2 linked regions of the Nothobranchius furzeri genome follow. The protein of the gene in region 1 purifies or fractionates together with the protein of each later gene. This does not show direct contact. Links are inferred from orthologs where the notes say so. Each region holds a gene or a part of one and is shown on either strand. Other genes may lie near its edges. The genes, in order: acad9 and timmdc1.

What was found.
Region 2: the proteins of acad9 (region 1) and timmdc1 purify together in Homo sapiens (affinity purification with mass spectrometry; 3 studies listed by BioGRID and IntAct, counting the BioPlex papers as one, with this or other methods). This does not show direct contact. The link is inferred for Nothobranchius furzeri from reciprocal best matches to the Homo sapiens genes ACAD9 and TIMMDC1.

The regions. Positions count from the first base shown.
Region 1 is NC_091743.1:6,045,042-6,048,866, forward strand, and holds part of acad9 (complex I assembly factor ACAD9, mitochondrial), read left to right. Parts: intron 1-79; coding exon 80-150; intron 151-232; coding exon 233-352; intron 353-434; coding exon 435-563; intron 564-1,830; coding exon 1,831-1,910; intron 1,911-3,825. UniProt on the Homo sapiens protein: As part of the MCIA complex, primarily participates in the assembly of the mitochondrial complex I and therefore plays a role in oxidative phosphorylation.
Region 2 is NC_091754.1:55,555,762-55,559,686, reverse strand, and holds the start of timmdc1 (complex I assembly factor TIMMDC1, mitochondrial), read left to right. Parts: upstream 1-1,597; 5' UTR 1,598-1,738; intron 1,739-3,925. Other genes in the region: poglut1 (protein O-glucosyltransferase 1), read left to right, coding at 1-64, 141-197, 278-434.

The sequences.
Region 1 (3,825 bases):
GTAGGACTTGCTGAATGTTGACTTTGATAACTTAGTGAATGATCATGGCTGCAGGCTAGTAACAACTGTTTTTCCACAGAGCTGACTTCAGAATACGCTGCAACCAGGAAACAGTTTAATAGAAGTCTGAGTGAGTTTGGTTTGATCCAGGTAGGGGAGTTACCTCTGAGTGGAATGTGTTCAGTGAATGGTTGTGTTAGAAATGTGTGAAGAGTTTGTTTTGATCCTGTAGGAGAAGTTTGCACTGATGGCCATTAATGCCTTTGTGATGGAAAGCATGGCATACCTGACAGCTGGGATGATGGACAGACCAGGAGTACCAGAGTGTTCCCTCGAGGCTGCCATGGTGAAGGTTAGATTGCTTTGATATTTTATCTTCATATGAAACTAGTGTGAGACAACTGTTCTTACAGTGTCTTGTCTGTCCTCTGCAGGTGTTCAGCTCCGAGGGAGGCTGGGTCTGCTGCAGTGAAGCTCTGCAGGTTCTGGGAGGGCTGGGTTATACCAAGAACTATCCATTTGAGCGCTACCTCAGGGACTGTCGCATCCTGCCCATCTTTGAGGTACTGGATAAACTAGTGAGATCCACATTGGAATGTTCTAGCAGCTAAAAGACATTTTTTTCTAATGTACTGGTGAAACTTAAATGTTTTCAACAGAAATTATATGGAAACTGAGTTGCAGCCACCACTCAGATTTTCTTTTGCACTTGTGCATGTGTCGTGCATAGGCGAGCCAGCGACGTGATCCCAGAATGAAGAAAAATGACAACTTTTCGTTGCTGTCGCTCGGACAAGGACCAATCAGTGAAGGTTTCATTGATTGACCAATGAGCAGACAGGATGCTTCCCAGTACATTGTCGAGCAAACGAGAAGGAAAAGTTCATACTTGCAGCATCATATCCCAGAGCATTAGAAAACTTCTACAAAAGAACATAGAGATCTTCACAAAAAAGGCAGCGGCATGGGGAATTGTTTTTGATTTAGCATCACTGGCAATGGGCACCTGCCAGTAACCTCGAGCGAGGTCCAGAGTTGTGAGAAACGGGGGTGGGGGGTGGGGGGGGGCTGCAATGCACATAAGACGCAAACTTACATTGTAAAGAAGGAACATGAGGGATTGTCGCCCATGATAACAGTTCTGGAGGGTACATGTGTTGTCAATGAATTGAGAGTCATAAAGTCCACGCCAACAATTAACTCACTCACTGCCAATGACGACTAAAGTCGTCATTTTAGATCCAACCGTTACTTTTAAACTTGAAATTTGCCCCCAAAGTCGCTGCCGGCTTCTGATCCGCCGTCCTTTTGAAAATACTGCGGTGTGTTATGGGTGATTTTTGACCAAGGCTAGGCTACAAGAAGACACCTCCCGTGTATCCTCGCTCAGCTAGCTAAACGGCTAACAAACGGAGAACACACCCCTCAGTAGAACATGAAAATTGGAACACGTGTTGGCGGCTCCCGATGACGTATCTCCTAGGCAACTGGGGCGGGGCCAAGATATCAAGGCAAGGCATTGAGAAACACCCAGGATAAAAGGTTGTTGCTGGATTATGACATCATTCCTTTGCAACCAACAAAGTCTTAAAGTGACACAAACCCATTATATCTGTTACACAGCGCCAGGGTAAAGCCAATAGAAGGAAAACACTGTACCCTTTAGCAGGACTATAACTTCAAAAGTTAGTCTGTGATAGTTTTTCTCAGTGAAGCACAACCTTTGAATGAAATTACCCCTAAAACTATCCTACCAAATGTGCTGATAAAAGTTTTGTTGAGCCCATCCTTGAGAGAAAAAATTGTTCTGAATGTATTGTTTGTGTCCAGGGAACCAATGAGATCCTGAGGATGTACATTGCTCTGACTGGAATGCAGCATGCTGGGAATGTCCTCACTAGGAAAGTAAAGTATGTGTCTATAAGGCCTTTTCCACTACTCATTGTGGCTTGACTTGGCTCGGCTCTATTCTGCACAGTTTGGGTGGTTTTCTTTTACAACTTTTCTAGTGGGAGAACTCGTTGTAGCGGGTTGGCACATTACAGTCACAGGGATATGTAGTGGTAGTTTTGTCAGATGCCAGCTGAAAAACTCTGGAGTAACAAGTCACTCTTGACGGTTTTAGGCAGAAAATCTAAATTCTTAAGATTAACTAAAACACAAAAATAATGACTACAAGTGTCTACAGCTCTATTAGACATTGACTTATTTATACAGTTTATCAGCAAAGAAAAGTTCATTTGGGGATGACTTACTCTTTCAAGGTCAACTGTACTCATGTTTAAATACACGTGCAGTGGTCTCTAGTAGGAATGAATGCCTTATAAGTTGTACTTTGGGGGGAAATAAGCTCAGATGTGCCTGTTTCAGGAACTAGAAGTAAGCCACCTCAGAGGTAAGCTTCAGACGGCATGATTTGGAGTCTTATAGGGAGCCTAAGTCACGCCTGTCTACTTCCGGAACATGGGTCACCAGAAGAATTAAAAATTATTGCTTATTTTCGAACAAGGGGAAACATTATTTTAGGTTTTCTGTGAAAATGCAACCAGGACTACAAATGCGCATCACCAATATGACGTCATCGAACCAGACACAAAGAAGGTCATTATACCATACCATACCAATTTTATTTATATAGCACATTTAAACACGGCATGAGAGCCGACCAAAGTGCTGAACAAAACACACAATAAAAACAATCAAAAATAAAAACTAAATCCATTAAAATCAAGTAATCCAACCCTAAAAGGAAAGGTAGAAAGGGAATAAGTTAGACAGAATTAAAAGCCAGAGAATAAAAGTGAGTTTTTAAACGAGACTTAAAAAGGGAAAGAGAGGAAGAGAGTCTGATCGGGAGGGGCAAGTGGTTCCAGAGCTTCGGTGCACAAACTGAAAAGGCGCGCTCCCCGCGGGACTTACAGCGAGAGCTAGGGACATGTAGGAGGTGTTGGTCAGCTGAGCGGAGAGATCTTGTAGGGACATATGGGTGAATGAGCTCAGACAAGTAGCCAGGTGCTAAGTTATTTAGGGATTTAAACACAAAAACCAGGATCTTAAACTCTATCCGGAGATGGATGGGGAGCCAATGGAGATTTGCTAAAACCGGAGTGATGTGTTCCCGCTGCCTGGTGCCAGTCAAGAAACGAGCTGCTGCGTTCTGCACAAGCTGAAGTCGAGCGAGAGTGGAGGAGGAGATACCGTACAGCACTGAGTTAGAGTAGTCGAGACGGGAAGCAATAAATGCATGGACAACTGAATGAAGATGACGCCTTTTTAAAATGGGCTTAACTTTAGAGAGACGCCTCAGGTGGTAATAACAGGTCTTAACTACCTGGTTGACATGAATGTCCATTATGGTTGTAAGTTCAGCGAAATTCAAACCCTGCTTTCGGGGAGAAATAACCATCATAAATCTGGTCATGTGGCAGCTACGCTAGGGGAGAGGAGATTTTGTGGTGACTTCATATATGCGACGTACCAACGATTGATTTGTAGACATGCTAATTATGAATTTTTACAAGCCGATAAATCTCAAAGTACGTGACTGGCGTGGTTGAAATACACATTACTTTTCATTTAAATTTAAGTACAACATATGTGCGATTCAGGGCTTAAGGGAAAGCAGATTTAAAAATAGCTCTTTTAGCCCCGTTGACTTGCATTCATGTTTTTGTTCTTCTGGAGACTCGTGAACTGACTGGAAAGAGAGGATCACCTCACCTCCGCCTGGACCAGTTTGGAAGTGTTCTCATTTAGATAGCCTTGGATTTTCCCGCACGCAACCGGATGTCTTTTCAGCCCTCTTCCTGAGGCAGTCTGCCTGGA
Region 2 (3,925 bases), on another chromosome or scaffold:
TCTACCCTCAGCTGAAGCCCTGGGTGCACTACGTCCCCGTCCAACAGGACCTGTCCAATGTCAGGTACGTCAGCCACCTTCTTCTAACGTGTCTCTTTGTAGGGACGTGATTGAGAGTCTTCGTGTCCTCCTGTCCCCAGAGAGCTCCTGCAGTTCGTCAAAGAGAACGACGCCGTCGCTCAGGAGATCGCCGAAAGGTAACGGACGAGTGAACTGTGAGAGAAACACGTTTTCTAGACACGTCAAAACCGAGTTCTGTGTCTGTTCCTCCCCACAGAGGTAAGGACTTCATCCTTCGTCACCTGCGGATGGAGGACGTCTCCTGCTACTGGGAGAGACTCCTCACAGAGTTCAGCCGGCTTCTCGCCTACAAACCCAGCAGGAAGAGCAGCTACAAGCAGATCATCCAGAAACCCAACAGAGCCGAGCTGTGAGGGACTCGGCACCGTGTCCTCACCGATGCCAAAACCTAGATAGAGATAGTTTTAGGTGAGAAAAGACTTCAGATGCTGCTGTTTCTTCATTAGGGGGAGCTACCACATACTCAAAGAAAGGTGAACTAGACCAATGAGGCTGTCAGGGTGCATCATGGGAACTTCCTACATCACAGTATTGAGTTTTATTGTCATTTATTTACTATATTTGGTTGCTTATGTGAATAAATCAGTTTTTATGACCATTAAACCACAGAAATCTAATAAAGATGTCACACACCGCCTCCTACTGTACAACTGCAGCTGAATGTTTAGTCTGTTACAGAATAAGACTTTAGGATGTTCAAATGTTGACACAAAGTGCTAATAACGAGCAATAATTTTAGATCTATGTGTTTGTTTTTACTCTAGTTTCAAAGAAACTTGTGTCACTTAAGTTTACTGTATTAAATAAAGGAGTTGAGGGTAAAAGCAGGATTAAGTTGAATATGTTGTAGTATTCACGTTATCCTGTCAACCACGAGGTTCCCACTAGTTTTTTACAAATATTAGCCACATCTGTGTTCCTGATTTTGAACAAATAAAGCTGCGATCAAGTTTTAGTTTGATATCTGAAGTTTTCTTATTACAGTAAAACCATTAAACACGAATTCTGCAATGTGTTTTTATAATTAATATGGATTTACAATTTCACTGTTTACCCTTTACTCAGATTTTGTATCTATGCTTGTTTTTGTACATACTGTAGTTTTCCATGGTGTTTGGAGAATAAACATTGTAAAATTGCAGTCAACATTATTTTTTTAACTATTACGCTTGTTTACACAGTCTGCTCTACAATAAATAAAAATTACACAAATTTCTGCAATTAAGTTGCTTTACACAAGTAAATTTAAAAAGTATGGACACATTTTCACAACTGATGAAAAAGAAATTCCTAATTCATGTTTATGTGATAATACTACTAAATAAGTACCTCAAAGTTTCAATTCAAGAAATAGTTTATTTTTCTATCACAGTGGCAGAAATGGACTCAAAAGGCCCAAGCAAACGTTTTTACTTGGAAAATTTAGAACCATTTATCCTCCTGACCACCGGGGGCGCTAGCTCTCCAATGTTCGCGCAGCCGCAATGCGGTCAGATGTCATTAGCCGCTGCAGTCTGTTGGTCCTGGACAGAATGGACATGTAAAGGGCATGCATGATGATAAAAGTTTTGTCATTTATAAATAATATTTAACCGAACCGCTTTACTCAGTTAGACCGACACGTCACTGTTGACGAGTAACTGAACGCTCGTTGCTGGTAAGTAGCTGTTAGCCTAGCTAACATGCTAATTGTTGCTAACATCTGATAAGCTTAGCTTACTATAAACATACAGCTTACTATAAACATACTTGTTACTAAAAAAAATTCAAATAAAGAGCTATTTTGTGATTTTAAAATACACAGATACTCATTTAAACATATTTAGTGCTGCAGTTTTTACTGTTAACCTGCTAAAACCTGGACATTAGAGGCAGGTGTTCAACTTTAAAGGTTATTAAGTCTACTTTAAGGTGCGTCAGCCCTTTTGGTTTGATTTTTTTTGTAACCTTTTGTGTATAATTCCAATTTCATCTGCACAAATGCTGCTAATAGCAGTGTTTTCATTCACTTAGTCCAGCCTTAGGTATTATAGAATAAACAGGGTTCCCTTAAAGGCGATACAAATGTAAGAAATGTGTCTTGAATAACGGCTGTTTCAAGACTTGTTTTCTTATTTTTGTTCAAATAAACCTGTCATGTATGCTGCCGGGGAGAAGGCAGGAACATGCAGCAGTGTCTGACTCGGGTTCAGGGGCCTCAGGTAGACCTTGGCTCCTCTGCTGCCCCATCAGTGGGGGGGGGGTCCAGGAGGGGGAGGACCCAACCTTACCTGGATGTCCTATGTCATTTATAATGCGGAAGTTGTGCAAATGCATGGATGGGCGTAGATATTCTGCTGGGTTGGTGCCCTCGGACTCCGTGAGGCTCTGTGATGCTGCTGCTTTGGGCCCTGGCAGGATGGGCTGGTGTCTCCATGCCCTGGGTGGCATTTTGGCAGCAGAGGTGCCTATTGGGGCCAGTGGGGGAGCTGGCTTCCTGGAGGGCTAAGCCCAACCAGCCGTTCCTCCCCATCCCCACACATTTCTCTCCTCCTGCTCCCTCACATCATCACACAAACATGCACATAGGACCTTGGGGGGTGGTCAAGTCAGGGAGTGTGGGTATGGACCCCATTTCCGCATTCCTGTGGCAACCTGCCCCCCAATTTTATTTGCACCTTATACACTTCCACCAACGACGTTCCACGCAAACACACACTTAGGGCCTTGGGAGTGAGCACTAGTGGTGTGCATCTCTACCTGCCTCACGATTCGATCCGATTCCGATTATCTGCCTAAAGATTTGATCTGAGTCTGAAATGCATCACGATTCTTCATGCAAAAATTTTCTTTACTTAATAAAAGCAGTAGAATAGTTTTCAGTTTCTTTTTGATTTCGAAATCCCTGAAAAACATAACATTCATCTATTCACTATAGTGAGCAATAATGTTTAAAGTGTGCTGCCTATAATTACTTAAATAATATAAGAAATAATGTTTTCGGTAGAGCAGCTTTAAGATAGAATATTACTGAACTTAAAAATAGTAAACAAATACTGTATTAAGTGATTCTTTCACATCCAGGATCCCAAAACTGAAATTAGCCCAGCCATCTGATTTAAATGTAACGGGTACATCTTTGATTACTGGTAATATTGGCCCTGTATCCTTGTCCACCTTTTCTGTTTTAAATTGGAGCTAGAGCAACGCAGTGCGCATGTCATTGCAACTCTGCCCCCAGAAATAATTGTAAAACCTCCAAACTTTATTGTCCTGCATAGACATAGACCAGGGGTCGGCAACCTGTTCCCATCAAAGAGCCATTATTACCCGTTTCCCACAGTAAAGAAAACACTGGGAGCCACGGCGTTGTGGGCGGGGCCTACCCTCAGACAGCAGAGAGCTGCTCACAACAGGTGACAGCAGTCGGTGCCGGTCGCTCGTGTACGTCAAAGTTCTCTTACATAAGACGATAATCAATAAAACGATTTATATAAAGTGGATCCAGAAGTTGTAGCCCGTCTCTGCCTACAATATTTAGATATTTTTCACCCTGTTGGTGGTTTTACTGAGCAGGTGCCACTTTTGTCATACGTTTCTTTTTAAAACATGTTTAGACTGTTCAGAATACAAATCCAGGCTCTGTCACGTTTCATTGTTGTAATTAAACTTTGTAGGTGGGGAAGGTCAGAAAAGGATCCGATCATTTTGTTTTTCCCTCATTTACAGCGACGGAGATAACGGCGCAGTGCGCCTGGCTCTGGTGTTAATCAAGTTTAATTTTATCTCTTTGCAACAATTTTCACAAGAAAACAGAACAGTTAAAGCAGGGCTTGTGTTGACCGGACAGTTCCCGTATTTGACC